Lytechinus pictus: one gene and its partners. The protein of the gene in region 2 purifies or fractionates together with the protein of the main gene of each other region. This does not show direct contact. Links are inferred from orthologs where the notes say so. Each region holds a gene or a part of one and is shown on either strand. Other genes may lie near its edges. The genes, in order: cleavage and polyadenylation specificity factor subunit 3-like, symplekin-like and cleavage and polyadenylation specificity factor subunit 2-like.

Region 1 (10,755 bases), on a different chromosome or scaffold from region 2:
GGGTAATGGCCTTTAATCAAGGCGTTCTTTTTGCTATAATTTTATAATGACGCTTAAATATCGAAATCAATGTAGACGAGTCTGTGCAGGGGCATAACAGGGGTATATAAGAGGGGGCATAGTACATGTCGCATGTGGAAGATACAAGTTACGTAATGTAAGTCCCGAGCACTAGCGTACCTAGGGGGGGGGGGCAGTCTGCCCCCCCCCCCCGATGAGTCACAAACCCATGCAAATTACATATCTCTGCCCCCCGGCCCCCCTGACGAGCTTGAAAACCTATTTTGCCCCCCCCCCCCGACGAGCTTGAATACCTATTTTGCCCCCCCTGGCGAGCTTGAAGACTTTTTTTTTGCTTGTCAAATTTTTTCTGGTACGATTGAAGACCTTTTTCATTGAAGAGCCTTTTTTTCCTTTTTTTTTGGCGGCCGATTTTGCCCCCCTGTGGAAAATCCTAGGTACGCCATGCACTGCCCGCGCTACACGTATGTTGGTAGCCCTGGGACCTCTGGATATTAACTAATCCAATTTAATTACAGATGGCAGATTTTTTTATTATCTGAGTAGCCCCCCCCCCCCCGGATTATTTGTTCTCACATTACTTTCCTTTTTAAATTTCCTTTCGTTCTTTCTTTCATTTTTCTTTCTTTCTTCCTTCCGTTGCTCCTATGTTTTTTTTTCAGGTGAAATCCACTCGGGGGATGGCCAGCCATGCCCCCATCTGTTTATGCCTCTGAGATGTAGGCTATACTCATGATCTTAATCTTCGATTTTCCAAAGTAGGGGGGGTGCTATTTCTCAAGTAAAATTTGACAACCCCCCCAAAAAGGTTATCACAGAAAAATTGTCATTTTGTCTCGCGTAAGATTTGACAAGTAAAAAGAAAAGATGGTTACTAAAAATAAAAGACTCATTTTGTCCGTGTAATATTTGGCAAGCCTCCCCCCCCCCCCAAGTTTAACATATCAGAGGCGCGATGGCTCAGTCGGTAGAGCAGGGGTTTCGGATTCCGGTGACCCGGGTTCGATTCCCAAGTGGTGCGCTAGTGCCCTTAAGGACGTTCCACAGTTAAAGTGAAATCCATGTCATTTTCACCAAACTTTGCACATAGATACTTTAGAACCTTAATATTCGAAATATGCAAAAATTAACATAGGTCCATGTGCTTGATTTTTTGCTATAGAGCTTCAAAGTTCACCCAAATTGATTTTCTTAAGAATTGCGCATTCAAAAGAATTTGGCATTTTTAGACCGCCCAAGATTACTACAATGAGTTTAAACCTCCATTACTCAGTCAAAATACATGAAAAAGTCATCAAATTTCGCAAGAGAGTTAATAATTGTATCGTTAGAATTGAGAATCTATTAATAGTGCTATTTGTTTGCAATTTTAAGTTTAACAGCACTGTCAGTTCTTAAAAATGGCGTAAAAGATAACAAAATCCCAATCTAAAAAATGTAAAATTTCAGTAACAAACTACAAACGTACAATAAATGCTGCACTTTATTCAAAATCCATGTCATTTTCACCAAAATTTGCAGAGTTGTAGAGGAAGGTATACCTAAGAGGTACAAACATTAAAAAATAGGGGTTCATGTGCTTGTTTTTAAACTATCAGCATTTTTATTAGAGCAAATGTGCCTTTTAAAACACCAAAAATGGGCCGAATGCTTAGTATCTATGTGAAGAAAAAATCAAAACCACTCTACCATTTATTCAAACTCGGGGTAATATTCGTGATTCTTGGCAGCACTGCAGAGTAAAGTATTTTGAAATTGTAGAGAATATTTTTTTGAATGGTCCATGGAATAATTCAATTTTTTAGCTTCATGAAATAACGCATCGGATCTGCAGTTAAAGTGCAGAAGATGAGAAAAATCAGCTGATACCCGCAGCTAATTAATCACCTGTTCATCCATTGTGACGTCAGCGCGCAGAGTGTAAACTATGCGCAGATCATAATGCGCACAAATATAACTGTGGAACGTCCTTAAGGCTTATCCTCATTACCAGGTCCCTCGGAGAGGACCTTAAGCCGTTGGTCCCCTGGTTGCTTGCTCACAGGCATTCGTGCTTTTTTAGCAGTCAGGTAAAAAATCTCGATATAACATAACATTAAAAAAAAGTGAAGGTCATTTTGTCCTGCGTGAAATTTTAAAAGTAATAAAAAGATGGTCACTAAAATTGAAGTTCATTTTGTTTGTGAAATATTTGGCAAGCCCCCCTCCCAAAAAAAGGTTTTAACTAAAAATGATTGAAGGCCATTTTGTTCCTCTTAAAATTTGTCAAGTATAAAAAAAAAAATCACTAAAAAATGAAGGTCATTTGTCCCACGTAAAATTTGACAAGCCCCCCCCCCCCTAAAAAAAATGAAAGGTAGCTGATAATGATTGAAGATCATTTTTTCTTGCATAACATTTTACAAAAAAAAGTGTGTCACTATTTGGCGAGCCCCCTACCCTCCAAAAAAAAGGTTTAATTAATAATGATCGAAGGTCATTTTGTCTCTCGTAAAATTTGACAAATAAAAAAAAAGTTGTCACTAAAAAAAGAAGGTCATCTTGTCGCGCGTTATATTTGGCAAGCCCCCACCCCCCTAAAAAAGTTTGTCATTAAATATAGAAAGTCATATGTTCAAAGTAAAATAAATTTGGGAAGCAAAAAAGAAAAGGACAAAAAAGAGCAAAGAATATGAACAAAATATCCCCATTACAAATATTGCTGTGATTCTCATAAGGAGGTGGGGGGGGGGGGGGAATTAACTTTGTACGAACGACATTTTTTTTTTACATCCAAAATACACTTGTTCACTGCAACCATCCTGCCTGTGGAGAATCTACAGGTAGGACTATGGCATGCCAATGCTGTACACAGCACACACTTTAAAAAATGATTAAAATATCACTTTTATGACCAAAATTACTAATTTCCATACAGTTGCAATTTATTTTTCATTAGTAACTTGGGAATAATTTTTGTATTCACTAGAGCGCTCAAAAACTTGAATTTTGGGCATATTTTTGTGTACGCCCTCTATTGATAGAAAATAATATGGCAAGAAAATTGTCATTTTTTAATCTCTATTTTTAATTAAGAAAAAATAATTTAAAGAATCAAATTTACTTAAGGGCCAAGTCGTATAACGAATAATTGTGATGGAAACTGTCAGTGTAAAAAAATCAAGCATTTTTCCCAAAGAAAAAGAGAAAATAAGCCAAACATTGCCATCCTTATTTTGCCACACATGGAGATATAACTGAGAACAAGGTTATATCATAACCTTGTTCATTGAATGAGTGCCAAAATATTGACTATGAATCTCAAAAGGTGGAACGGGCCAGAAATGCTCAACCCCCCCCCGATCTGCCATTGATTCCAATCGATAATGACTTTTCCCTGCAATACTGATGCTTGAAATCAAGATACTGAAGATTGATATATTGTAATATAAATTATGAACGTCTGACAAAAAGATAACCAACCGATCACCTGACCGATCAGCTGACCAGTACGTGAATCACATCGTAGTTGATCAGTCCCCACAGCGTTTGGAACGCTCACCAAGAATTCAAGAAAAAAGACTGAAAATGTAAGTTTAACCTCAATCCATTAAATTTCAAATGTCGTAGAAGTTTCCTTATCATGTTTAAAACTAATTAATACCTAAATTGTTACCATCCACTATGTATTAAGGCGTACATTTGCCAAAGTTCTTGGGTGCAAATAGAAACGGCAATGTCTAACCGGTTTTATCACTGATGTCGCCTATGAGGTCCATACATGTAATGTTTGGACCTCATTGGTACTAGGAGTGCAATATTGGCCGTGCGCCTCTACTGCCAGTGCCAAAGTCTTTACAGTAAAAAGATTGGACACTTTGCCGACTTCGCGTAACGCTTTGCATCGATTTACGTGTAAGATAGTTTTTGTGTCTAGTCTCTCCCTTGTAGTAGGCCTAGTGTCTTTGATATGATTATGAAGATAAATCGCGCGCCCTCTTTCGCTCGACATGTCATTAGACAATATTAGACAAAAAATTTGAGAACTCGCAAGGTTGGGCCGTATTTTGTCAACGAGAAGAAAATCAACGCTTAAATGACGCTATGTATTTGAGGGTTATTCATCATATTAGGAGAAATTGACTTCACATCGTTTGGTAAATTTCGTAGGACTTCATTCTGTAAATCCTCTTATTAGTGATGTTAGCTAACGCCAAAGTGAATAGGTGGGACATTGGAATAGCGGGCAAAAAATAGAGCCCAAGAGAAAAAAAAATTATAAATAAAAATACTTACAATGGTCGAACAATCAAACGGTCACTTTCCTCCTCTGGGATCTGCGCATCTGGCTTTCTTTTGGCAGCCATTGCTTCAAATTATAAGCGATTTTCATAAAATTTCAACGACACAAACAAATCCACACGCGCGATCATTAAGAAAATGTCGCCCTCTATAATCAGCGAGCAGGGAGCTAGCTAGAGCAACGAATTGTGAGCTAGAGGTTGACGAAAATGTTGTTGTATTTTTTTGGCTCTCACAGGAAATTATTCTAATCCCAATTCCATTAACACTTCCCCACTTCTATATCGTCCCAATATGCTCTTCATAAACTTAAATCATGAAGGGATTTACAATCCTTTTCATCAAAATAAAGGTGTTGGTTTTACAATATTCTCCCAAACCTCATTGAGCTTGCGTGTTTAAACTCTTACAGCCTTTTGACGAGTTTATTTCGTTTAATTAATTACTTGTTTTATGTTTGTTTTGTTTTTCTTGATTTGATATGATTTTCGCCACGAATGACTTTCATTCAATAAACTTTACCACTACAGGGGAATTAATTTTACAAGTACGTTATGGGTTCCCTAATTAGTTTTCCCATCTTTCCTTATTATTAGTTTTGCATTACTAGTATTACTAATAATGCAAAATAGTAATAAGGAATGATGGGGAAAACTAATTAAGAGAAACGTTTCTTTTATTTCGTCAAACCTATACTGCGATAGGCCTATGTATCTCGAAATTTTCCCACATGTTAGATGTTTTTTTGTGTTATTCTTGGTGTTGTTGTTGTTGTTGGGTTTTTTAACCACGTCTAGTACAAGCACCATTTCTTTTAGTCTGTACTGCAAGTATAATGAAAACGAAAAAAAAGGCTTGAATTTTAATTTTACAAATGTTCCCTTTTCATGCGGGTCCGCTTTATCAAGATAATTTCACCACCCTACAGTGGCGTAGCTAGGATTTTTTTCCTGGGTATGGTCCTTGCTTTTTGATTGGGGGCAAATTTTTTATTCTCTTTGTGTATATATTATGTCAAAGGGGCGGATCCGTCCCATAGGAGGCGAGGCCCAAAATTATTTTACCCATATTTTCCCCCGATCGGCCGCTTAAAGTAGATTTTTGTTTGTTCATGTTTTTTGAAGCCTTGAAGGAATAGTCCTCATATAGTCACTAATTCCTAGCTTTATTCTTATAAAACAAGTGAAATAACCTCATTAGCCATAAATAAAAGAGCAACCGCGAAGCGCGACCTAATTTGTTGTTTACTTTCATGCATTTTGTCATGAAAATGTAAGGGGCAATGTTTTTTATCCTAAACAACTAGGTAATTACTGTGAACGCCGAGCGCGAGCATGAATGTTTAATTAACGTTCTGGCCTGATCGAAAAGGGACCTGTTAAGAACTGTTTACAGTTACCCATGAAGAGCTCAGTTGCAAAAAGAATAGGTCAATTTTTCATCATTTTTTTTTTCGACTCAATGTATAGATTTTTAGTAGCTCTATAAGAAACCAAAGAAAAGATTTTCCTTTATCAAAAGGGGTTAGGTCCAATTCAGTTTGGTTGCACAAGGGTTAGGTCCATAAAGACATGGAAAAGAATATGCCTATTCAAAAAAAATATGAGAACACTCTTTTATACCCAATTTTATGTTTACATGGTATAGGGTATCATAAAAATATAGTTTTGGATAAGAATATTGCAATATGGGAGAATAAAAAAAAAATCTTGAAGTGGATCTATTCCCTTTTGCAACCAAACTCTTTTGAAGAGCTCATTTGTCAAAAGGGGTTAGGTCCATTTTTCATAAATTTTATTGTTTTCTGTCTCAAAACCTATAAATTTTTAGTCTGTCCGATGATACCAAAGAAAATTTGAAATTCACATTAAAACGTGAATAAAAGTGGCAAAGAAAAAAAAACACTTTTTTTATTCAAAAGAGATTGGATTCATTTCAATTTGCTTGCAAAAGGGGATGGGTCCAGAATGATATTAAAAAAAAAAAATATGTAGTAAAAATTTAAGACAGGTAGATTTCTTTTATACCCAATTTTACGTTCACATGCTAGGGTAGTACATCATGACAATTTAGTTTCTCACAAGAATATTGCAATAAGTGAGAATAAAAAACATGATTTTTCTCGGAATGGTCTAAAGTGGACCTAACCCCTTTTGCTACCAAACTTTTTATGTTTCAACAAATAATGCGAGCACGAAGCGCGCGAGTTGACAATTTTTGACTTTCCGACCTGAAAAAAAAAAAAAATTCTAAGCACTTTTTGTAATCATGAAAGGAATAGGTATAGATATGTGGAGCGTTATGAAGCGTTGTGGCCCAGTGGATAAGTCTCCGGACTTTGAAACAGAGGGTCGTGGGTACAATTCCCAGCCATGGCGTAGTTTCCTTCAGCAAGTAATTCATCCACATTGTGCTGCACTCAACCCAGGTGAGGTGAATGGGTACCTGGCAGGAATTTATTCCTTGAAATGCGTTTGCGCTGTAATCTTAGTAATTACGGCTGCCAAGCTACAGCTGGGGTAATAAGTCCTTTGGAAGCGCGTAAAAAACATTATTCATAATGTGATATGCGCTATACAAGAACTGTATATTATTATTATTGTTGTATGTAACTAAACAATTGATGCAAGAACTGTATATTATTTATTATTATTGTATGTAACTTAACGATCGATGCGAGCGAAAATTTAGATTTTAGACCTAAAACGAGACACTCTACAGTGAGTAAAAAAAAAACGTCTTTAAAATTTTGTTTCAAATTATAATGTCTATATATATTTTGGTGTAAATAGGTGCTCTAAGGTCTTATCTTTGAAATGCTATTAAAAAAAATTAACTTTGTTCATACTTGAGCGAACACGGGACGTTTATGTTGGGGGTTCAAAAAGAGGCTTGCGCCAGAATTGCAGAATACGAGTAATATGACGATCAGGCTTCTTGCTAATCAGGAGACTTCCTCTTGATCTTTTCATTATCTGTGCCACAATTTTCGAATTATGCTGTCAAATTTTATTTACAAATTTATTTATTTACTTGAATTATTTGTTTTTTTCATTTAAACTTCTCTTACCTTTTAATTTTCCTTCAAAAGTAAGTGAGAAAAGAAGATTTTTTGTCAACCCAAGCAAAAAGATTTGTATTATTAATTGGGAAAACTTGTGATTATTCAAATCCTTTTATTATTGTGAAACAAATTATGTTATGTACCTTTAAAAGACATGAATCTATTTTTCAAAGGGTCATTGATTCCTTGACCAAGTTTAATTGCTTGACAGGAAACACAGGAAGGGATTCATGTCTTTCAATGACAATGGTGTATCGAGTCAATTTTGAAGGAGCTAGATGTGGCAGATCGGTTAAAATGTATTTAAAAGTTGTGAGCGAGCGAAGTGAGCACGCAAATATTCCCACTTTTTTATTACAATATCAAATTTTGTGATAGATTTTGACATAATATTTAGAAAATAATATCATATTTTACTTTCTATCTTTCCTTTTATTTCCTGTCCACTTTTTTTCTTGGTCATGATTTTTTTTAAATTAAGGGGGTTGGGGAGCATCCCAAGCCCCCGCCCATCTTTGTGGCACTGTTCAAAAGGCACCATAACCTTTGTAGCACACAATGAAAGGATTTGAAAAAAAAATCCACGCTCTCCCATACTTCGTTAAAACAAAATTGTTTTAGCTTGAAGAAGGAATATTAAAAGCTAACAGAGAGCATATTAAAAAGAAACAACAACATAACAATTCAAGCAAATAAATAGATCTGAAAATGAATTTTGACCGCATGATTTGAAAAATTATGGCAAAGATAATGAATAGGTTAAGAGGAAGTCTGCTAATTAGCAAGAAGTCCGATCATCATATTTATAATTCTATGCCGTTTTGGCACAAGCCTCCATTTTAACCCCAGACAAAAACATTCCGTGTTCGCTCAAGCATGAACGAAACTAAATTTTTTTCAAAAGCATTTGAAAGATAAGACCTTAGAGCACCAAAATATAGACATTATAATTTGAAACAAAAATTTTATAGAATTTTCAAATCTGTCCCTTTTTTTTATACGCACTGTATTAATATTAAATCATGAATTGATTGATTTTATTTGGCAAATCACTACAACATATAAACAGTAGCATTAAAAACAACATGCTTGCACAGGAAAACCCACGAAAGCTCATTTCCAGTGGGTTCCTCGACATGACTATAGAATTAAGATAATAAAATGATAAATTATACTATTTACATAATGAAAGCGCAAAGGAAAAAAAAATCAGAATTTAATATTAGCAACAAGAAGAATAGAAAGACAAAATGAGAAGAAGCAGAAGAAGAAGAAGAAAAAAGAAAGAAAAAGAAATGAAGGAGAAGAAGGAGGAGAAATAGAAGAAGAAAGATGGGTTATTGGGTATCTTGCTAGTTCAAGTTTTATTTTTCATTTCCATTATCAACATTATAAGCAAATACAAATCAAAGATACATTATAAATATAAACAAATACAAATGAAATATGATAACAATGATTACAAATCAATTACAAGTTCCAAAACATTTGTAAAATAGGTTTAATAGAATCTGATATGGAAATGATGCGAGCGTGAAGCGCGAGCATAAAATTATTGATATTCTGTTCTGAAACTAGATAATTTAAACACATTTTGAATACAGAACAAGCTGCTTATCTCAATAAACATGCGTGTGCGCGTTCTAGATTTAGGCTTAGAATCTGGGCATAATTCTGAATACATTTTTTTAATCATGAAGATCAACAATGCGAGCTCGAAGCGCGAGCTGAAAACATTCGTTATTCCGATCTGATAAAAAACTCTTAATTTAAGCATCTTTTGAAGCCCTGTGTAGGAATATTTCGATGTGGATGTGGACCACACTTAATAAATGATTTGAGCGCGAAGCGCGGGCTGATATTTTTGAATTATCATTTTGATCTAGGACCGGGACATTCTAAGGACATTTTTTCTTTCTATCTTCCTATCATTCCTATTGAAGCACGATATAAAAATGTCGATGTTCCATTCTGAAAAAGGGCCAATTTAGTTATTAGGAATTCATGAAAATGATATTTTCTTATTTATTAATATGCTTAATGAGAGCGTGGACTTTGTTGATGTTAAAGCTTGAAAACTGGACATTTTAAGAATTTTGTAATCACTAATAGGACGCATGGGTTAATACATTTTTAACAATAATGCGAAGGCAAATCGCGAGCCGATTTGTTTTTATAAACTGTAATGAAAAGGGAATTTTTAGTGGCTTGTGATAGAATTAATAGGTATACATAACGCACCAATAAAATACGAGCGTGCAGCGCTAGTTGATGGCCCAACTGAAAAGGGATATTTTGAGAACTCTATGGAATACACAGACAATAGGAAATTGGTAAAGCAAATAATGCAACTGCGCAGCTTGAGCTGAAAATGTATTAAACCATAAAATGGACATTTTACAGAACACTTACAAAGTAAAAAAAAAAAATCAAGTTGTAAATAAAAAAGAATATGAAAGCTCGTCAGCTCGATGTCCGAACTGAGAAATATTGACTTCAGAACTTGATATCTAAAGGCGACCGCACACCTTACGATTGGTCTGCGACCCGATTTCAGAATAAAATGAAGTAGAATTTGATGCTAATATTGAGACTTGGAATATCTTACTGTGTTATGTTCTAAATCATCATACGAATTGCTATGTTCAAATCTGTGACTATGCTCTCATCCTTATTAGAATAAAAGCGAATTTAATATCTAGTCGTAATGACGTCATAGCAGTCGTACGATTGGCTACGATTTGAAACTAATTGGGCCTTTACTAAAAAATAAAGGCTTGCAATCTTTTAAAATTGATTTTAGTATTCTTTCAATTAATTTTAACCTCAAATAAAATTATATGTTTTATTCACGTTTTCAGAAAATGAGCAAAATGCTATTTGTTCCAAATTCGGATCGCGAACAGTCGTAAGGTGTGCGGTGGCCTTTAAGCTCCGTATCAGCCTATTGAGCAAAATATGAATCTCATCGAACAGGCAATGCGAGTGCGAAGCGCGAGAGAACATTTTATATAGTGACATAACAGATTTTTTCGCAAGTCTTCCCCTCACCTTATTTTATTCACTCGTCTCCCTCCTCTTAATTTCCTTTATTTTCCTTTTATCTTTCCCCTTCATTTTTTTATTTCTCCCCTTTTTTTTGCTCCGCCAATTTTTTTTAAGGGGGGGGGGGAGAGAGAAAAAAAATGTCCCAATCGGCTAGCCCATCCCGCCATATAATTAATAGTGGTAAAAGGTGCAGCCACCCTCCACCACTTTTTCATCATAAATGGTTATTAAATTTTGCCCAAAGAAATGCTCTTTTGCATCCTAAGGTACATTTTCACCTTTTATATAGTGATAACAATTGTCGTTAACAATTTGCATATATTACATGGTTCATCTTTTCA
Region 2 (10,904 bases):
TTGAGGATTTCACTCTCATGTCTAAGAGCCATTATTGTCTTCCTCAATATGACAGAATAAAAGCTAAACTGGTTACTTGAAACAGGAAATGCATTGGACCTAAAATGATGGAAACTTGCTATTGATTCAATGTAGCAAATGCTGAAATTTCAATCATCCAATCATGTTTTTTCTCTCTCTTGGGGTAGGGGGGTTAAATGGTTAACAAGTAATATCATTGACCTATCAAAATAACAAAACTAATGAAAACTCTTAAAATTATCAGTTTGAATATTGAAGCTACAACCAAAATTGCACTAATGAAGATTTTACAAAAACATTAAAAAAAATATTTGTTCACTATGATAGAGATATACAGAAATCTGAAAAGGAATCAGGAATATTTTCTCCATCAAAGATACTTTTGAATACAGAGGCAAAATGGATTACCATTCTGAGATAAATATTAGCCCCCCCCCTGAACTTTTCAAACTTACTTTGATGGTCACTCTGAACAGTTGAGAGGTACATAAAATGACCCTCTTGATGACCGCAGCAGGTTGGTTTTCTTCTGTTAGCATCATATGAAGACGAGGCAACACTGTGCATAAAATCTGATTGTCTTTCTTGCTGCATCGAGGAAAAATGAACAAATAAACAAAAAAAAAGTTAATGATATAATATTAGCAGAGATGCTAACTTTAAATTTATCTTTCAGGGAGAATTTAGTGAGGAAGGTGGGAGATCTTTCTTGATTACATGCAATCTAATGAAAAAAATCAAATGTATTAATTAATGAGATGTAGAAAATTTGCAGCCCTGCATCATGTGGGAGATGGTATACGATTCACCATATGGTTTGTCCTGAAAAGCAAAAAAGAGAAGTGAGATTGAGAAGTAACTTTTGTGAAACAAGGTGTAGTCCTTTAAAGGACTGTAAACCAGATGAGACTGATGACTCAGATGAGATTAGATGAGAAGTCCTGATGGCGTTAAGTGGAAAATAAATAGATGAGTTGAGAAGTCCTAGTGGTGATCAGGAGATGAAAGGGGACAGGTAAGATGAGCAGTGGTGAGTAGAAGAGTTGAGGCGTCTCAAGATGTTGGGCAACCTGACTGTCAATCACCCAGGGTCCATCATCATGAAAGATACTTCTCACTTTCACCTTTTTCTTTCTCATCTTTCATTTTCATTTCTATCTCTCCACCAAGCAGCAGTCTTTTTCTGGACTAACCACATTTATGGTGAACCTTAAACATTTTTTCATGATATCTGTAACACCATGCAAACCTTCGAAGATCATCTGATATAACATTGTTTCTTTCATGATTGATGTATGCAACTAGCATTGACTAAATGCCATGGACACATGATGCATGAAGTTTTAAAATAACTGACACAATAATATCCTGTGGAGGAGCCGTGATGTAGTGGTTCTGACTCTCGCCTTGTAAACAGAGGGTCGTGTGTTCGAATCCCACCGCAGTCTGGCGTCCTTTGGCAAGGCGTTAATCCACACTTTGCCACTCTCGACCCAGGTGCTAAATGGGTACCCGGTAGGATGTGAAAGTCTTTGTAGCTTGTCCAGTACTGTGTGCGCCTCACCGGCGACTGACTGGAATACTCCCCAGGGAGTGGAGGATGTGCACACATTGTGTGCGGGAATGACTGATTGAATCCGATGACCGGGGTAATAATATATCTGTAAAGCGCTTAGACACGTCGTTCCGATGTATTAAGCGCTATATAAAAAACGGATTATTATTATTATTATTATATACAAAAATTTATTAATTATATATAGGCTGTCAACTTAAAATGTATATGATCTACAAGTACAGCCCTAAATAAAAAGCCTCAAAAGGCAAAAAAAACCAGTGCTTTAATTACTGTGCTACCTTCTTGAGGCTATCAATTTAATATTCCTTTCTAATTGAAGGGTCGTGTGGGATGGGACTTGCAGATTAATTTGAAATAAGTCAAACTCTTTTTTCGGGGGGGGGGGTGGAAAATTGTTTACTTATTAGAGAGTTTTCTTAAGGGATGATCTGTTCTCCATGTTTTTCTTTATTCAAAGACAAAAACAACAAATTCTTTGGTATTTTGCATTATAAAAGTAGAATGAAATCAAATGTAATTTTCTTACCAGGCACATTCTGCAAAGCTGAGTACAAATTTCCTTACTTCTATGGAATCATCAAACTGAAACTGAAGAACTTCCTGCACAGATAAAAAAAAAATCTTTCATTATTTCAGTTTTAACACACAAAGCGTGTCACTATCATCAAGTTTATGTCTACCACTTCCCCTTCCACCTTCATTTTTGCTCCTACCAAGCAAGTATCACATATTCACATGCTATTTATGAAATCATATATACAGACACATAAGAGTATAATTTATTCACCTTTAAAATGACATCATTGTCATGGCAAACCTCTGTTTAGTTAGCCAAGATATATTTCTGGTGAGATGACAAAGCATATGTTATATAACTTCACATAATATAGAAAAAAACTGAAAAAGCCTCACAAAAATGACTTTTTTTTTAAGGTCAAGTTTGAAACACATGGCCGGATAGAAACATTTGGTAATGTTTGGAAAGAACAAAGGAATCTTACATCAAGAAAATTATCAAGTAGAGAAGGATCCTTGTCAATAATAAGTTGCTGGACTTGGGTCAAGTTGTTGATCTTCTGAGAATCCCTGGGTAAAGTGTGGGTTTGTTGCAGCAAGTCAACAACCTGTAGACAAGGGAGAAAAAACACACAAAAACCCCTTTACTCAACATGTACATAATTAATATGTCCAAACATGACAAATAATGTGTCTGGATAAACATAGCAATTTTAAGAAATATATTTAAAAAAAAAATTATAATTCAAAATTATTTAATCATAGTTGTCAACACTGATGGTTGTCAATATATTTGTGGTGGTGATTAAGAATCTAATGAGCATGACTCAATAAGAGTGGTTTCCCAAATTGAAATAGATCTACATGTAGGATGGGGGTTGTGTATCCGGACACTTTAAATCTTTGAAGTCTTGGGGGGGGGGGCTTTGGATTACAAAAAAATATGAATTTAATAGTTTTAAACTTCTTCAGTTTTGTTCTCAATAATATTGCCTAATCGTTTATAGTTAGGCCTACACTTAAAATTGATGAAACTTTTCTTGTTAACTTTCTCAAATGACTGTTTAAAATCAATTGTCCGAACACACAACCTATCGGGACACACACACACCAACTTGGTATACCAGTACATGAAAGAGCACACAAGGCAATATTTTCACTTTTTTAAATCACAGAAGATATAGGCCTAACTGAATGATCATTTGCTTTACATTATGTTTCTTCAGTTACATGTATGTAGCCCTGCAGCGAGAGTGTAGTCAGCGGATTAAATAAGGGGGTTTGATACCTTCCCTTCTCCTTTTTTTCTCCCATATTTTCTCTTGCTTTTGAATTTTGACAATTAGAACGAATCCCAGAACCCTTTCTGGATACACTGGCTTGAAATATAGTCAACCATGACAGGAGTGTTACCCCTTTTGTTTACACAAATAAGAACAAATTAATAAAACAAATTAGGGCCTAGTCTCACTCTCTATAATTATAAACACATAAAAAAGGGGGGGGAGTAACATCTTTACAAATCCAATGTGACAATGTCACAATTGTTTACGACACCATGATGATGATACTAATAATGTAGTGGAGTGACTAGTGTTAGAACGAGGCATCATACATGAGCAATTCATGAAATTGGATTCTAAAGCCAAAAGGGGGAGGCTAGTCTCGAAAGGCTATGTTGAGCGCTAGACACGGCCCATGCCACAGGATCCCTGGCTTTGAAATAGGCCATTTTATCAACATATTTTTTTTTAAATCTGAGTCTTCTGACATGACTCGTTTTGATTGGCCGAGGATCAACAGCTAGTAGTATGACCATGATGACATAGCCTAGGCCCTACGGCATAGTCTACTTTGTTGGATAAACAACCATCAAGTTCTTTAAGACTTTTGTGCTCTCTTGACTTTAGTTTACGTTCCCAAACTGTCCCAAGTTTTCAAACAAAATTGAGACAATGAGACTGATTGAGAATGAGAGAAAAAAAAGATTCACCCGATCGGATACGGTTTGTCCTTCTCCTCCATCATCATCGTCCATAAAAAATTGTGAAGCTACAGATAGCCTACTACTTCCGGCACTCATTTTTACTTTCACACGTACTGCAACAGTGAGATTACAAGAAGAATTACAGAGCAGACAAAATTCAGTTCATTTCACTCCAAACCCAGTGGCCGCCTGCCCTGCCTAGCCTGCGCATATGTATAATGCATGAAATATGCATGTGATGCATGCACAGTATACAGCCGGTATACCGGTATGGTATCTTTAAGAACATTTTCTTTGTAAAACCAACTCGGGGAAATCGCTCGCTTCGAACCTGAACCTCGTCCTCGGCCTTTGCCCATACCAGGAATCTCTTTTCCAGGAAAAAAAGGATCGAATGCAACTACCAGCTGATTTTTCCAGTCCGATTACATCACAACAGTGCATTGGGTGTAGTTTTGAAGCAACAATAATGACAAAACTTCCTATTTTCGGTCGTAAGTGTGGTATCATCGGCGTTAGTGCACTTTCGCATCAGTCACATCGTCCCCGACATCCGACCCAGCGGCAGCCGCGCCGGAAATCGGGCTGTGCCTGTGGAACACTGCTTGGTTTCGTCGGATGGTACGAAAGTGCATTAGCTATCATAATCTTTGGTTTAATAAGGTTTAGATCTCTGAAAAAAATATATATATTCTTTTTAAGTTGACTATATTTAGATCTATATTTTCATAAATTCTAAATGTCAATGAAATAAAAATAACAGTTAAATTGTGATTCAGATCAGGCCTTTCACTTTCAGGGTGACCAGATGATAGATCCGGGGGGGGGGGGGGGGGGGCACTCAGTATATAATGCATAGTGCCGTGGAGGGGACCCCCATTTTTACACTCAAATTTCTGTTCCAGGGCATGACATTTTTATCTTATCAGAGCTACCAAGTCTCAAACATTGTGCGTGAGACTCGCGCATCGAGGGTCCGTCTCACGCATGGCACCCATTTTTCTCACGCATCGGGACCCGACAGAAAAAGCCTTCGCATGCCGTCGCGTCTACCCCGGCACGTGAGACGAATCGAGAGTGCAGTCAGCGCACAGCTAGTACGTGATACGATGAATCGCGTGCGTGCATCGCATGGTTTTGTAGTATGGATCAATATCGTGATAAAGCCCATATCTCGCGAGTTGCGCGCGTGCCTTTTCGAAACGTACAAGTGTAAGTACTGGCTGCGCGCGTGCAGAGTCGCCGAGTCATGAAAATCTCACTTATAACATTTTTTTAAACTTGGCATCTCTGTCTTATTGAGAAAAAAAACTAAGAAAGTCGCTCCGAAGCGTAGCATTTTCTTCTTATCGAGAGAAAAGAAGAAAGAAATCCGCTCCAAAGCTTCGCATATTTTTTGTTACGCTGTTCCAGTAGCATTGATCCGCCACAATGAGCTGCAATTTTGGTGAAAAGCAGCCGCAGAGCGCTGTCCGACCATCGCCTCTGCGCGATCGCACCCGGCGGGCTGGGCTAGCTGCATACACGTATGCCTGTTCCAAAGGGATGCACACGCAGGCGACCCCAGGGTGACCAATTTTCACAAAATGAAATACGGGACAATCGACAAAGCACGCTGCACGAGCTGAATGACAGAACTAGGCCTTAATTTTTAAAACAGATCAACAGAGAAGGCTACACGATGTTAGACTTGTGAAAAAATGTAAAGAATTGGAAGGGAGGGTGGACGAAAGAATGAAGGAGAGAAAGAAAAGGGATGAATTGAGAAGATAGAAAGAAAACGAAGGGGAAAATGAAGAAAATAAGAAAAAAATAAAAGGATGAAAGAAAGGATATAGTAGAGAAAAAAGGTTTCCCTCATTCTTTGAAATGAATATAAAAAGAAAGGAAGGGAAGATGAATAAATATGTGAAAGAAATAATAAAGGACAGCCAAAGGAAAAAGAAAAAAAAGGAGAGGAAAGAAAAATGAAGGAAAGAAAAGTGTTTCCTTCATTCTTTGAAAGAAAGAAGAAAAACAGGAAGGAAGGAAGGAAAGATCAAAGGAAGGAAGGGAGAGAAAGAAAGAAAGAATAAGGGAAAATTAAAAGGAAAAATAAAGAAAGGATGAAGGAGAGGGAGGAAAGAATGAAGGGAGGAGGGAATGAAAAAAAAAAGGAATGGGAGGAGAGAAAGAACGAAAAGAAAAGGAGAGGAAGGGAGAAGGAAGCAAAGAAAAAATTAAGGAAAGAAAGAATGAAGGAAATAAAAAAAAAGTAGGAAAGTAAGAGAAAGAAAGAGAAAGAAAAATGAACACAGAGAGAAAGGATCAGGAAATAAAGATATATAGAACAAAAAAGGGGCAAGCAGGAAAGATAGAAGGATGAAGAAAGAAGTTCTAACTTCAAGCAAACAAAAAAATCCAATCATCTAACAAAAATCATAATAATAATAATAATAATAAGCATTAATTTATATAGCGCAGCTTTTATATGGATATATTCAGCTGCGCTTGTTCAGAGCTCTTTTTACTTATGTCTACACAGCATATTTTCTTAACTAAAGAGATATGTTTTTAATTTTGATTTGAAGAGAGCCAAGGATGGAGAGCTTCTTATATCAATTGGCAGGCTATTCCATAGTTTGGGGGCAGCAAGTGCAAATGCACGATCACCAAGTGTGACTTTTGTTTTGTGAAATGGGATCTGAAACAATAATTTATCTGTGGAACTTCGCAGGTTTCGACTGTGTGATTGGGTTTTAAGTTTGAGTAATTCTGTAATGTAATGTGGGGCTTGACCGATTACCGGGTAATGATTTATATACAATTAACAGAATTTTGAATGAAATTCTTTTATGTACAGGCAACCAGTGGAGTTCTCTCAGAAGAGGTGTAGTGGAACTGAACTTTGGGACACGGTAGATAAGTCTTGCACATGAATTTTGGACTCTTTGTAGCTTAGAAATGAGACTATCAGGCATTCCAAACAACAAACCATTACAGTAATCAAGCTTACTTGTAATCAGAGCATGCGCCACCAGTTTGATACTTTCTTGATCAAAGTATTTGCGAATGCGCCGAAGGTTATAGAGGAGATAATGATAATGATATTTGGTGTTTTTTAATATATTTTTAAAACTAAAATGGTTTAGAAATGAATAAAATGTCAAAGTGAAACATTGTCAAATTAAAAAATTAGATGAAACATCGCGGCATCATACAGGCATCTCTCCCATCCCACTTCAAGTTCGTATCGATCAATAACAAGACCAGGAACAGGACTCAAACAAAAGCCGAAACAACTAGATCTAGTTATGAAAACTCAATAACTTGTTCCTCCGATTACATCTCCAAATCAGTAATCTGAGAATCCATAATATAATTATAAAAAATTTCCCACCGATTTTGTGATTATTTTGGTGGAAAAACTGTTTATCATGTGAGTTTTTTGCACCATTGAGAATCTGCTCCGATTCTACATGCCTAGCTAGTAGACTGCCACACACAGGCAGGAGGCCAGATCATTTGCAATGTACTGTATTGGGTTAGCAAGAAAATCACCGCAGAACTCGCAAAAGTTTACAGTAAATTTGCTTCGTCATCTGTTGGTTATTTGATGAAAATTCGTCACTTTTATAATTATGTATATTTTGTCCCGAGAATGGTTTTTCAGAATGCCGGGAAAAAGGAGCAAATTACGGGACGATCCCGGGAAATATGGGACGTCTGGTCTGGGTGACCCGTTCCAAGGACCCCCGTTTTCATAAACATTTTTAGTTTCGAAGCCCTTTACGAGGATCCTCCTTTTTTACGATAAGTCCGCTCCAAGGCCCCCGGTTTTTGTCTCACCCGCGGCACATACCTACCAATTTTTTGGTCAAGTACCCCCCCCCCCCCGGGACCAGATTTCACAAAATGAAATACGGGACAATCGACAAACAAAGTCACAAGTATAACACAGTGTTAGACTTGTGAAAAAAAAACTAAAGAATTGGAAGGGAGGGTTAATGAAAAAATGAAGGAGAGAAAGAAAAGAGATGAATTGATAAGAAAGAAAGAAAAAATGAAGGGAAAAAAAAGAAAGTTAGAATAAAAGATGGATAAAAGAAAGAATAAAAGAATTTTTTTTTCCATCATTCTTTGAATTGAATATAGAAAGGAAGGGAAGATGAACAAATTTGTGAAGCTCAAAGACAAACTAAAGGAGAGAAAGGAAAAAAGAAAGTGAGTAAAAAGGAGGAGGAAAGAAAAATGTTTCCTTCATTCTTTGTAAGATTAAAGAAACAAAGAATGAAGAAAAACAGGAAGGAAGGAAGGAAAAGAAAGAATAAGGGGAAGAATTAGAAGGGAAAATAAAACAAAGAATGAAAGGAAGGAAGGGAATCATGAAGGGAGGAGAGAATGAAAAAAGAAAATATTGGAAGAGAAAGAACGAAAAGAAAAGGTAGAAGGAAGCAAAGAAAAGTTTAAGGAAAGAAAGAAAGAAGCAAATAAAAACGGATATTTAATAAAGAAAAAAAATGAACACAGAGAGAAAGAAAGGGTCAGGAAAGAAATATAGGAAATAAAGAAAGATGGAACAAAAAGGGCAAGCAGGAAGGATAGAAGGATGAACAATGAAGGATAGAAAAGAAAGAAAGAAGAAAAAAGTTTAAACTTCAAGCAAACAAAACAAATCCAATCGTCTAACAAAAACATAATGATATTTGGTGTGTTTTTTAATACATTTTTAAAATAAAAAAAACTAAAATGTTTTAGAAATGAATAAAATTTCAAAGTGAAACATAGTCAAACTTAAAAATTAGATGAAACATCGCGGTATCATACACACCAAGACTCAAAACGAAAGCTGAAACAACTAGATCTAGTTATGAAAACTCAATAACTTGTTCCTCCAATTACATCTCCAAATCAGCAATCTGATAATCCATAATATAATTATAAAAATTATTTTCCTGCCGAATTTGTGATTATTTTGGTGGAAAAACTATTTATCATGTAAGATTGTTTACACCATTGAGAATCTGCTCTGATCCTACATGCCTAGCTAGCTAGAAGCCTGCCACACACAGGCAGGAGGCCAGTTCGTTTGCAATGTATTGGGTTAGCAAGAAAATCACCGCAGAACTTGCAGAAGTTTACAGTTATCGATTTTATTGTTGTCTCTGCTTAGCCATCTGTTTGTTATTTGATGAAAATTCGTCACTTTTAAATGTATGAAATACATTTTGTTCAATATTCTGAAATACGGGACAAATAGGCGTCCCGGGAAGGGTTTGCCGGGACAAAAGAGCAAAATATGGGACAATCCCGGGAAATACGGGACGTCTGGACACCCTGTTGTGATTTATAATTTTGTATGATGGGGGACCTAAAAAGGTACGCACTTTGTTTACAAATAATAAAAACTATGCCAATTTTAATATTTGAACAAATTATTTTTCACTAATTTGTGGCAAACATTCTAAAGATCATTAACCAAGAAGAAAATAACCTACTAAATTCTAATACGAAAATCCCGCCGTGTTTTCCGAACACTTGATTCCGCCGCCCGATGTAGATAGAAGGGGTCCTAAAGCTACGCATTTGGTTTATCATGCAGAAAAATAGTATTTCCTGTGCTTCAATTTCTAAAATATGATCATATTAGGATAATAAGAAATTAAAGCGAATATAACTCCAAAATTCCAAACAGTTGTAGATTTTCTCTGCCTTTTTGATTTAGAGATTTACTGCAGCCTCTGTTGAAAAAATTGAATAGGAATCGTTCGTCACTCTGCGGTCACATTTCCACTCACAGAGTGTGCATTTGCCATTAAAAACTGCATGCGCGATGAGTGGTGCGTAGCTTTAGGACCCCCTACCATAAAATGCAGCTGCAGTGTCTGGCCTGGGGCCCATTTCTCAACATTTTTATAACTAAGACCCATAAAGAGCTACTTGTCCGCTAACTGTTTCATGAAGCCTTTTTTGCTAATACAGTTTCGCACTGGCTGATTTCGAGCAAATTTCTCCGCCAGAAATTGTTAGCAAATGTGATAGCAAGTCTCTCACAATCAGTCACATTTCGAGGTCCATAAACAACATGACCAAAAGATTTGCCTGTGAAAGCTCATCCGTTTGTTCATCACACGTTTGCATGATTTTGGTTGCTAACTTCAGTCCATATCAAACTTACGGCAAAGCGAAGGGAAGCAATATCTGACTGAGAATTCGAACAATGACATTGAGATCAAAGTCGAAATACAGCCGTTCCCGATTGCGATTTTTGTCTCACCTGCATAGCAGAGTGAGACTATAGGCGCCGCTTTTCCGACGGCGGCGGCGGCGGCGACGGCGGCGGCGTCAACACCAAATCTTAACCTGAGGTTAAGTTTTTGAAATGACAGCATAACTTAGAAAGTATATGGACCTAGTTCATGAAACTTGGCCATAAGGTTAATCAAGTATTACTGAACATCCTGCCTGAGTTTCATGTCACATGACCATGGTCAATGGTCATTTAGGGTCAATGAACTTAGACCATGTTGGGGGAATCAACATCAAAATCTTAACCTAAGGTTAAGTTTTTGAAATGTCATCATAACTAAGAAAATATATGGACCTAGTTCATGAAACTTATACATAAGGTTAATCAAGTATCACTGAACATCCTGCATGAGTTTCACGTCACATGACCAAGGTCAATGGTCATTTAGGGTCAATGAACTTTGGCCGAATTGGGGGTATCTGTAGATTTACCATCATAACTTTAAAAGTTTATGGATCTGATTCATGAAACTTGGACATAATAGTAATCAAGTATTACTGAACATCCTGTGC
Region 3 (10,763 bases), about 9.3 Mb from region 2:
CCTGTGAGGCCTATGTAACCGGTAATTTGACGATGCTAATTCATTCTGAGCAACTAAACGTGAATGCTTACGACCGGCACTGGTCGAGGCAAAGTCCACGCGCATGCGTACTCTTAATCCGAAGACGCAATTCATGAATATTCATATGTTGGTCCAGAACTCGGTGGGAAAAATAATTTCGCGCCCCGGGGCCCGTTTCTCAACACCTGGACAAGTTAGTCATATCTTTATCCACCAACCACGGAGTTAGTTCCAATCTTACTATACCTGTTTCACGAAAGGCTTCCTAACTAGAATACCTTGATATCGATACTATTGGTAAAAAGAGCAGACGAGACGTAGCCTTAGTCACAAAATAGCATAATTTTCAAAAAGAAAAATTATGACAAAATTGCAAATATTGTGATAAATTGGGGAATACATCTTTTCAAAATAATAGCACAAGTAAATTATGCATCATACATACTTAGACAATGAAGATTGGAGCATTCAATTGCTGAGAAAATTAAATTATGAATAGTTTATTTCATGATTAGAAAATCACATGTGGACGTTGAGATGGGTACCCCCGTGACATCAAATTTTACTAGTATACGAAAGTAAACCATAACGGTTTTCTTTTTAAAATGATGATAATTATACGCCCTTCTACGATTACAAACATCATCAAAATATAGTTTAACAAAACCAAAAATAAATATTTGATACCGAAACATACGATTTGACAAATTATATGCATAAATTAGAGATAGAATTTATCCAAATGTTAATAGGGGTCTGAAAACAACAAATACGAATCCAGTTATGGATGGCCTGACGTGGTAGAATCTTTATCGATTAAATCATTGTACTATTTCAAAGTGAATGGTTTTGTGGCGTTTTACCAAACAGTTTTTATAGTTTATTTGTATTAGAATTATCATTGAATGCATTATCCCACTTTTTTTGTGATGTAATTTCAACCTCTATGATTGATTACGTAAGATTATTATTTTCAAATTTCTAGGCACTTTTGCATGTCATAGTCTACCCACGTGATGCCACTACGTCATTGAGAAAGAAGTTATGACAGGTTCGGAGGTGTCATAAATATTTAGTGAGGTTGTTGTACCCGATCTTGGTAAAGAGGGCTTCGTGAAACGGTTAGCGGACAAGTAGCTCACTATCTCCGATTTAGTCAAGATCTTAGACTTATGACGGTGTTGAGAAACGGGCCCCTGGCTCGCGCCAGGCCTAATTCGCTTCGCGAATTAGGAAAGCCCTCGCTTCGCTCGGGAAGCAGCCGCCAGGGCCTCGACAAGAGGCTAGTGAATACCGGCCATGATCGGACACGACGGACAGCGCTCTGCGGCCGATTTTCACCAAAAATTGTAGCCTCTCGTCGAGGCCCTGGCGGCTGCTTCCCGAGCGAAGCGAGGGATTTCCTAATTCGCTTCGCGAATTAGGCCTGGCACGAGCCAGGGCCTCTTGACATCTGATCTGAATTATTCATGAGGAACGTCATCCTAATGAATATACATGAGTTGTAATATCACCGGTCACTATAGTAAACCAATGAAATGTCAAAGCTGTTTCGTCCGGGGTTCGGAGTACTATAGTAGTCCACTATTCTGCAGGGGATTCAATTAATTGCGGGACACTAAAGGGGATATAACCAATGAAATGTCAAAGCTGTTTCGTCCGGGGTTCGGAGTACTATATAGTAGTCCACTATTCTGCAGGGGATTCAATTAATTGCGGGACACTAAAGGGGATATAACCAGCAAAATGCTACAAGCAGTGGTACTACTACTACTACTACTACTAGTACTGGCCGTAAAAGACTCATCACCGCCCCGAAACTTTCCGGGAGATACTGGTCAGCCGCTGGTCAGACTCGAGTCAAGGGGAAACAACTCTACTCCAGCATTCCCTCACTGCACCGCGGAGAACGATAATCGACACACAGTGGAATCGCATGAAAGATAACATTTTTTCCATATCTAGCTGTGGGTAGATTTACAAAAACATCTCGTCCTTTCAGTGCAGATTTAATTTTATCGACTTGCAAATCCTTAAATCGGTCAATATTCAGCATTTTAGAGGCATATTCAATGCTCTTTGATGTTTCGTCGTCCGCCAAGGTGTTGATTATGAATGCATTGTCGCTACATTGTACAGCGCGCGGATATCCGTTTATCCGGCCTCTTGGCCGTGTTGTTAATAAAGCACACACTCCCACTCAATACTCCGTCTGGTAAATTATCTTTTATTTTATTAATACTGGCGTGGTGGCAGCTTGTGGTCTGAACCTAAGGCCCTAAGGTGATCCTACCAACAGTCCGATAATTCTTACTCTAAACAAGGGGCCAGGCGCTCCGTTAGCCTAACGGTGATAGGTTTGAGTTCTTTTGCATTTTGAGTGTGTGTAGTCCCTTCAACGTATATTCATGTACAGTATGAATAGTTGCTCGACGATACATGTGGGCGTGTCCGCGGCTAAGGGCACCGCCTCGCGAGAGAGCGTGGCGGTTAACAGTAGAATGGAGCAGTGTTCCAATCCTTGTAACTCAGTTATATCCCCATATTTCCATGCTGTTGGCGGTTATGACTATAACTATGAAGAGAAAGAAGTAGAAGTAGAGATAAGGAGTGCGTGTGAGGTGAATTTAATCAGCGAATCAATGGCAGAGACATTGGGATTGGAGATAGTGATTGATGAGATGATGATTGAAGAAGATTACATTGAAATAATACCTAAATATGTAAACAAGAATGGTATCATTGGCCTGACTTATTTCTCACTCTTCTGTAATGGCCTAGAATTACAATTTGATGGTTTGGTTGTTGAGGATGATGCCATGACAAATACTGGAATTATTGCTGGTGCCCCATTTATGGAGGCAAATGACATCTCCGTTAGACCAGCTAGGCATCTGATCACATTCAGTGATGATTCTGTTTTCATCTATCATAGTAAACCAAGTGGTGTCATGAGTGACAAATCTTTAGTATGCAAGAATACTCGTGTAGATCTAGATCAGTCTACTCATGATGATGTTGATCCTATGCATGTGGTGTCTAGGCCAGACCCCATTGCTATAGTCCCAGGGAATTGTGAACAAGATCTTGGTGTCTACTCAGATGAGAGTCGGCTGAATCTGAGTGTTGTGTCTAAGGATGTCCAGTCCTCCGAGTCTGAATGTTCCGCCAATTGTGTAGAGTCAAGTGGGGTTAGTCAAAACCGACCGAACAGGAATCTCAGTGAAGTTGTTCACATTACTCCTCTAGTGAATGATGTTGTTGTGCATAGGCCTACTTCTGATATTGTGCCTGATACATCCGACAAGTTTCGTATGCCTGTCTCGAAGGCTCATTCTCATCTGTCAGGTTCTGGTTTGACCTACGAAGAAGTGCAGTTGCCTGAGCTCGATGATTTGCACTCGCCCGTTTCGGCCTGCTTGTTGCACAAGCCCGATTCTATCGTTTCGCTGCTCATGTCCGATTCTCACGTTTCGCTGCGCTTGCCCGATTCGTTAGATGATAAGTCATGCTTGCCTCATTCGATCGTTTCGCCGTGCTTGCATGATCCAGCAGCTGATCAGTCAAACTTAACCGATTCGGATCCACTCAACAAACAGCGCTCGTTCGTTTCGCTCGGTGACGATTTCGTGGTTGAGTTGGAGTCGAACATCTTGACATCTCCACACTCACCTGGTCATTCACACACGACACCCCACAAACATGACACATCACAATCCTCGTACAATGATCCTTATATCGGTACACGATACTTCCAGTCACATGACCAACCACACACTGATAGCCTAAGAAATCTTCCTCCGGCCATTGTTCGTACCATAGAGATGACTGATAACCACCCTTGTCGCTACCCACCAGATTCTGCAGAAGTCATCCCTATGAAAGTAACCGGCGATACAGTCCTTGACTCAGAGTTGCCAAATCATGTCACCTTTGATTCCACCCCAAAGAAGGTAGCCTGTTGCGCCGATGGACACGACTCTCCGTCACTAGCCCATGGTGCCCGTGACCGTGGTCCTTCAGTAGAGCAAAGAGCACTTGATCACCGTCCTCCATCTTTAGCCTGTGGTACCCATAATGACAATTCTTCATCAGTGACAGTAGCCCATGTTGCCCATGATCACAGCTCACCAGAGACAGTCACCCGTGGTGCCCATGGTCACAGTTCTTCAGTGACAGTAGCCCGTGATGCCTATGATCACGGTTCCTCAGAGACAGCCCTTGGTGCCCATGATCACGGTTCCTCAGAGACAGTAGGCCGTGGTGCCCATGATCACGGTTCCTCGGAGACAGTGGCCCGTGGTGTCCATGATCACGGTTCACCTACCTCGAGAGCCCATGGTTCCCTTGACACTGACCTTCAGATGACAGCCAGCCCTACTGACCATCCTCAACTGACGGCCTGCAGTTTCACTGACCCTCCAGGGCCCCAAGCTGATGACGGCATACTTATGTTACCGGCCCCTACTCCATTTGCCATTCCTCAGCTGAGTAGTCCCACACCCATCTCTCCTGACATCCCTGAATGTTTTAGTAAGGTGCCTCTGCCCCTGTCTCACAAAGACAGTAGCCCGCCCATAATTCCTAATCTTTCCCAACCCACAGGTTCCAGTCCACATACGGCATCCTATATCTTTCAGTCAGGTATCACCCCCGATATCCCAGCAGCGGTTGATGACTACCCGAGCCAGCCTTGCCTGTTTACCACAGCCCATGACCACCCTCCAGAATTTTCCCCTCTCGTACGAAAAGCCCTGGACTTTCATTCCCCTGCCCCATTGCTAGTCGTCCCTTTAGACCCCCCATCTACCCCATATCATATGATTTGTGCTTATTAGGACTGGACCTTACATGTTGTATGTGTTGACTTTTTGCATGTACATTTTTTAGGTTGTACTCCATTAAACTGCTGTTTATCCTGATGTTGTGTATTTTTTTTTTTTCGTCAATCTGGCTTAATTGTTTTTTATTATATTTAATGTACTTTCTCATTTTCCCCCCTTTTTTAACGTGTATTTAGACACTGTAATTAGAGTTAACTGTTGATTTATGTTTTGGATAATCGCTGAGTTTAGGATGTGACTTTTTCATTGATTGTTGATGTGTGAGTTAGTGTATTTGATATTTGCTCACTTGTTTATTACATTGGAGGTAGACAATGTGCTGAGTATTACTTGACTGGAGTGACTGACATGGTTGTTTCATGAATGAGGGTAAGGTGTAAGGATGTACCATGATGCAGGTTGTTATGTGTTCCTATGAAGTGAAGGTGGGATGAAGAGATAGAGTGAAGAGGTAGAGTGTAAGGTGCAAGAATGTACCATGATGCAGGTTGTTATGTTTCCTACCAATATGAAGTGAAGTTGGGATAAAGAGATAGAGTGAAGAGGTAGATTGTAAATGACAGCTGATGCTAAATGAGAGGTAGCAGAACTCATGTTTGATTTAATGTATTGTTTGTACTGTTTACACCAGCATACAGTTTAATTATGGAGTAGTGTTTTGATAGTTTATTGACAAGCAATCATTGGTACAAATATAATCCTCATGTTTTGGTTTGCTATTTTGCCTCACATTAATGTTTAGATTTGTTTATTGATGCATATCATATCATCATACCTGTCATGTATCTGTTATTGTTGTTTTATTATCAATCTGGTATAGGCATTTTGAATAAATTGTATCCTCCTTTGATGGTGGGATATTGTTTGTATTTGACTTTAACAGTGCATTTATGTATATATGTTATGTCAATTGATAGGCAGGATTTATTATGTATGCAGGCAATTTTATTATTTGAAAGTTTCTTGCTCTTTATGGATAAGAATTTGATTGGAGTTTAGTATGGCTTCATTTATCTTTTTAGAGTGTCATTGTATTTTATTGCTGTGTTTTATTATTTTAGCAGACTTGCCTCATTCACCATTTTTGAATGGATATTAAGGAGATTAAGATAAAATGTCAAATGATGTATATGTGTCTTTTAAAGCTGCTTAATAATGAGGATTTGTAATGTGTATTTTTGGATGATTGCTGAAGTTTAATGGGATCTTTTTATATGCAAGTTATATGCAAGTAGTAATGATTTGTATGTTGAAAGACATTTGACTGGTTTTTAGTTTGTAGATGATTTAAAGTGTTGAAAGGCAATTTAATATTTTATGCTGTAAAGAGGAAGTAAAACAAAATGAGATCTGCTTAACAATCTTAGATATGTTAGTTGGTGATACATAGAATTGTGTTATGTTAGATTTAGTAGAGTTGTTCTTGTTACTATTGGTTGGATAGTTTAGATAATGAGGGAGAAGAAAATATGAAGGAAAAATGAGTCACGCCAAGGTGTTGATTATGAATGCATTGTCGCTACATTGTACAGCGCGCGGATATCCGTTTATCCGGCCTCTTGGCCGTGTTGTTAATAAAGCACACACTCCCACTCAATACTCCGTCTGGTAAATTATCTTTTATTTTATTAATACTGGCGGTCACTCTTCGCCAAGAATCCACGGGTCGCCATTCAAGATGAGCTCATGAATATTCAATATGACGTCATAGCAGCCCGCGCTCTCATTGGATGATTTTCACCGACCAGTTTTTGGTCGGTATATTCATGTATTGGTAAAAACAATAAAATAAGAAAAGAAAGTCGGTGAAATTCGGGTCAGATGTCAAGAGGCCCTGTTTCGCGGCGCTCTGCTTCGCTCTCTCCCTTGCTTCGCAATGTTCGCTCGGAATGTTCACACTGTTCGCCGACAGGGCCTCGACAAGAGGCTACCAAAATTGTGGCTCATTGTAGCGGCCGGAACAGTGTAACGGACCCGGGGGGGGGGGGGGCACTTCCATCCACGAGTGGATACCATGCGCGACCATGAGATCTCAAAAAGCACCCTAATGAACACGTTTATTTTCTATATTCTGAAAATGCACCCCTTAACAAGTATTGACGTGTGAAACCCTACCCTTAACAAATATTGGAAACAAAACGATGCTATTGGCAAGTATTCCCTGAATTGAACCCCTAAACAAGTACAGCGATATTTCAATGTTATGTCACGGACGTCGGTCGTCGGTTTTACCTTTACCTACATCATTGCTATGGGTTTAGTACAGCCAAACTCGCGCAAATCGTACTCCTGGGGCAAAAAGTACATCCTTTATATGACATTTTAGTCTTGATTTTTTATACCCTCGCGAATTTGACCCTAAACGCGTAGTTTTCCTAGCAAAATAGATACCCTTTTTCACTATTTTAGTGTTTTTGACACCCTTATTACGTTACGTACGTAACGCGCCCTATCTTGAAACCCTGAAAAAGACATCCTTTTACGTGTTTTTTTGGTCGCGCCCGGGGGGGGGGGGGACACATCCATTGACGAGTGGATACCATGCGCGACCATGGGGTCTCGAAAAGCACCCTAAGCACGTATTTTCCATATTCTGAAAATGCACCCCTCAACAAGTATTGGCGTGTGAAACCCTACCCTTAACAAGTATTGGAAACAAAACGATACTATAGGGAAGTCTTCCCTGAATTGAACCCCTAAACAAGTACAACGATATTTCAATTGTTATGTCACGGACGTCGTTCGTCGGTTTTACCTTTACCTATCATTGGTTAAAGGGATGGTCCGGGCTGAAAGTATGTATAGCTCAGTAAATAGAGCAGAATTCACTGAGCAAAATGCCGAAAATTTCATCAAAATCGGATAACAAATAAAGTTATTGAATTTTAAAGTTTAGCAATATTTTGTGGAAACAGTCGTCATGAATATTCATGAGGTGGGCTGATGATGTCACATCTCCACTTGTTCTTTTGTATTTTGTTATATGAAATTAGGTTTATTCAATTTTTTTCCTCCAAGAACTAAAATAATTGGATTGAAAACTGATTTAGTGCATTAGATATTTATTGCTGCAACTTATTTCATTATAAGGGAGACATATTATTCACACAAGTATGAAATAATGAAAAAATTATGATTTTATGTAATAACATAAGAAAACGGAAAGTGGAGATGTGACATCATCAGCCCACCTAATGAATATTCATGACGACCGTTTTCACAAAATATTGCTAAACTTTAAACTTCAATAACTTCATCATTTGTTATCCGATTTTGATGAAATTTTCGGCATTTTGCTCAGTGAATTCTGCTCTATGTATTAAAATATGAATATTTTCAGCCCGGACCATCCCTTTAAGTACAGCCCCACCTCCCATGCACACCTCGCGAAAATCATACTCTAAACACGTAGTGTTGACTCTTGGGGAAAAAGGTACATCCTTTATTAAACATTTTAGTCTTAATTTTTTATACCCTCACAAATATACACGTAGCGATCCTAGCAAAAATAGGCCTTTTTTCATTATTTTAGTGTTTTTGACATCCTTATTACGTTACGTAAGTAACGTGCCCTATCTTGAAAAATACATCCTTTTTACGTGTTTTTTTGGTCGCGCATGGTATCCACTCGTCAATGTAAATGGGTCGCGCTTGGTATCCGTCAATGTAAGTGCCCCCCCCCCCCGGGGGGGGTAACGGAAAATGTGCGAAGCTTTGGAGCGGATTTCTTTTTTTTTTCTCGATAAGAAGAAAATGCTATGCTTTGGAGCGGCTTTCTTTGTTCTTTTTCTCAATAAGACAAAAATGCTATGCCTTGGAATGGAAATTGGAGTGTAAAAATGGAGGTTCCCTCCGCGGCACATACCCACTATGCATTATATACTGAGTTCCCCCCCCCCCCAGGGATTGGTCCAATTGCCATTCGTCCATATCCATATATTTGACTCAGTGTTAATTCATTGGGCAAAGTGAATGAAAATGAAACAGGTATAAGAACAACTGGTTATGAGACGAAATGTTCATAGACGAACTGGTGATTAGATGAATGATTGGATCGAAATGGCTATTGGACCAAAATGGTTATTATACGAAATGTTGATGGACGGAATGGCATTGAATATATAAAGTGAAACATGAACATAATACATGTTGATAAATTAAAATTGAATTGAATCATTCATTTCTATTTCATTTTATTGTCCACATGGAAATGAGTTTTGCTCACATTATAAACATTTTTAACAAAGTATTATAGGCCTATATACACTAGCGTACCTAGCGTACCTCCCCCAGGGCCTACGACCCGACCTGCATGCCTACACATACAAGCCACTGCTTTGGCCACCTCCTCCTCCTCATTGTAATGATACGAGATTATGTTGTGCTAACTGCATCATAGTAAACAGTGGCGTACCTTGGGTCACGGCATGGGGGGCACCAGCAAACATTTTTAGTCACTTAGTGAGCGCGCGAAGCGCGCTCAGTTGCCAGGTATACTGACCTAATACATGTTATAGAGACATTTTAAGGACAGTGGCGTTAAACGGATATCTCACTGATCAAATAATGCGAGTGCGAAGCGCGAGCTGAAAATTTAGGAAATTCAGACCTGAAGAGGAGCATTGTTTGTAAGAATTCACGAAGACCATATACGAATTTTACTACCCAAATTATGCGAGCGCGAAGCGAGAGCTAAAATTTTTGTATAAATTTTTGTATAAATTGACCCCAAACAGGAATATTTTAAAGACTATTTTTTAAAGGAATCATATCTCACCATAGTCATCTAATTTGAGTGCCAATATAAGCGCTTGCTGATTTTGTTAGAATTACATTTACACAATGACGCACTTTTTGTAGTCATTGTAATCATGATTATCATACGCATCTCACTAATCAAATATTGCGAGCGCGAAACGCGAGCTGAAAATTAAGGAAATTCAGACCTGAAGAGGGGCATTCTAAGTCTTGTTAGTAGGAATTGACTGAGACCATACGTTTTTCACTAACTAAATGATGCGAGCGCGAGCTGAAAATTTATGATATTCATATTAGAAAAAGGGACATTTTAAGGACTGCACAGCAAAAACTGTGATGTTAACCGGTGTACATAGAGGACCACACCAGTTATTTTACACCGGTGTTGAATTGGTGGTGTTAGTTTTACACCTATAGGTGTCATTACAACACCTTTGATTGTTACATTTACACGCTTTGGTGTTATTTTTAATCTCTAGGGTGTAATTTTAACACCTCACGGTGTGGTCCTCTATTAACACCAACTGGTGTCAGTTTTAACACCGCAGTTTTTACAGTGTGATTTTAGAGGAATTCATGAAAAGCAGACATATCCTCACCAATCTACTAATGCGAACGTAAGCACGGACATGAAATGCTTTATATTAAACTTAAAATGAGGCAATCACTTTAAGTAGTCATGAAAAAGAAGCTTATGTCACTATATAAAACAATAATAACTCGAAGTGCGAGGAAATATATTTGATGTATATTGACTTGAAAACGGAAGGTTTTAGTACAACATGATTATATATCTCGTTAAACAGAATATGCGAGCACCATGAATAATGAAGACATAATTAAGCCCTGAACAAATTATGTTTCATAAAGTTATGAAAAAATGTTTCTTATGTAATATAACATAACATAATCATCTTTTCCTCTACATTTCTCTTCCTTTCTCCTTTCTCCCATCCGATAGGGGGGGGGGGGGCGTGCCCCCCATGCCCCCCGTAGTTACGCCACTAATAGTAAATATGAAAAATCGACAAAGATTAATTGAAATGAATGAAATTGAAATTGAAATCAAATTGCTCATTGAATATTCATGAAGAATTACGTAGAAAATTCTAATTTTCACCGCAATGGTGTAAAGCTTTA

The links.
Region 1: the proteins of symplekin-like (region 2) and cleavage and polyadenylation specificity factor subunit 3-like purify together in Drosophila melanogaster (affinity purification with western blotting; 3 studies listed by BioGRID). This does not show direct contact. The link is inferred for Lytechinus pictus from reciprocal best matches to the Drosophila melanogaster genes Sym and Cpsf73.
Region 3: the proteins of symplekin-like (region 2) and cleavage and polyadenylation specificity factor subunit 2-like purify together in Drosophila melanogaster (affinity purification with western blotting; 3 studies listed by BioGRID). This does not show direct contact. The link is inferred for Lytechinus pictus from reciprocal best matches to the Drosophila melanogaster genes Sym and Cpsf100.

The regions. Positions count from the first base shown.
Region 1 is NC_087250.1:4,454,252-4,465,006, reverse strand, and holds the start of cleavage and polyadenylation specificity factor subunit 3-like, read right to left. Parts: upstream 4,454-10,755; 5' UTR 4,368-4,453; coding exon 4,297-4,367; intron 1-4,296. UniProt on the Drosophila melanogaster protein: Component of the cleavage and polyadenylation specificity factor (CPSF) complex that plays a key role in pre-mRNA 3'-end formation, recognizing the AAUAAA signal sequence and interacting with poly(A) polymerase and other factors to bring about cleavage and poly(A) addition.
Region 2 is NC_087251.1:31,989,949-32,000,852, forward strand, and holds the start of symplekin-like, read right to left. Parts: upstream 4,737-10,904; 5' UTR 4,598-4,736; coding exon of another isoform or gene 4,498-4,597; 5' UTR 4,200-4,497; coding exon 4,110-4,199; intron 2,725-4,109; coding exon 2,602-2,724; intron 2,201-2,601; coding exon 2,127-2,200; intron 610-2,126; coding exon 477-609; intron 1-476. Other genes in the region: glyoxal reductase-like, read left to right, coding at 4,498-4,597. UniProt on the Drosophila melanogaster protein: Component of a protein complex required for cotranscriptional processing of 3'-ends of polyadenylated and histone pre-mRNA. Involved in germline stem cell transit amplification, differentiation and mitosis-to-meiosis transition.
Region 3 is NC_087251.1:22,717,019-22,727,781, forward strand, and holds the start of cleavage and polyadenylation specificity factor subunit 2-like, read left to right. Parts: upstream 1-6,432; 5' UTR 6,433-6,473; intron 6,474-10,763. UniProt on the Drosophila melanogaster protein: Component of the cleavage and polyadenylation specificity factor (CPSF) complex that plays a key role in pre-mRNA 3'-end formation, recognizing the AAUAAA signal sequence and interacting with poly(A) polymerase and other factors to bring about cleavage and poly(A) addition.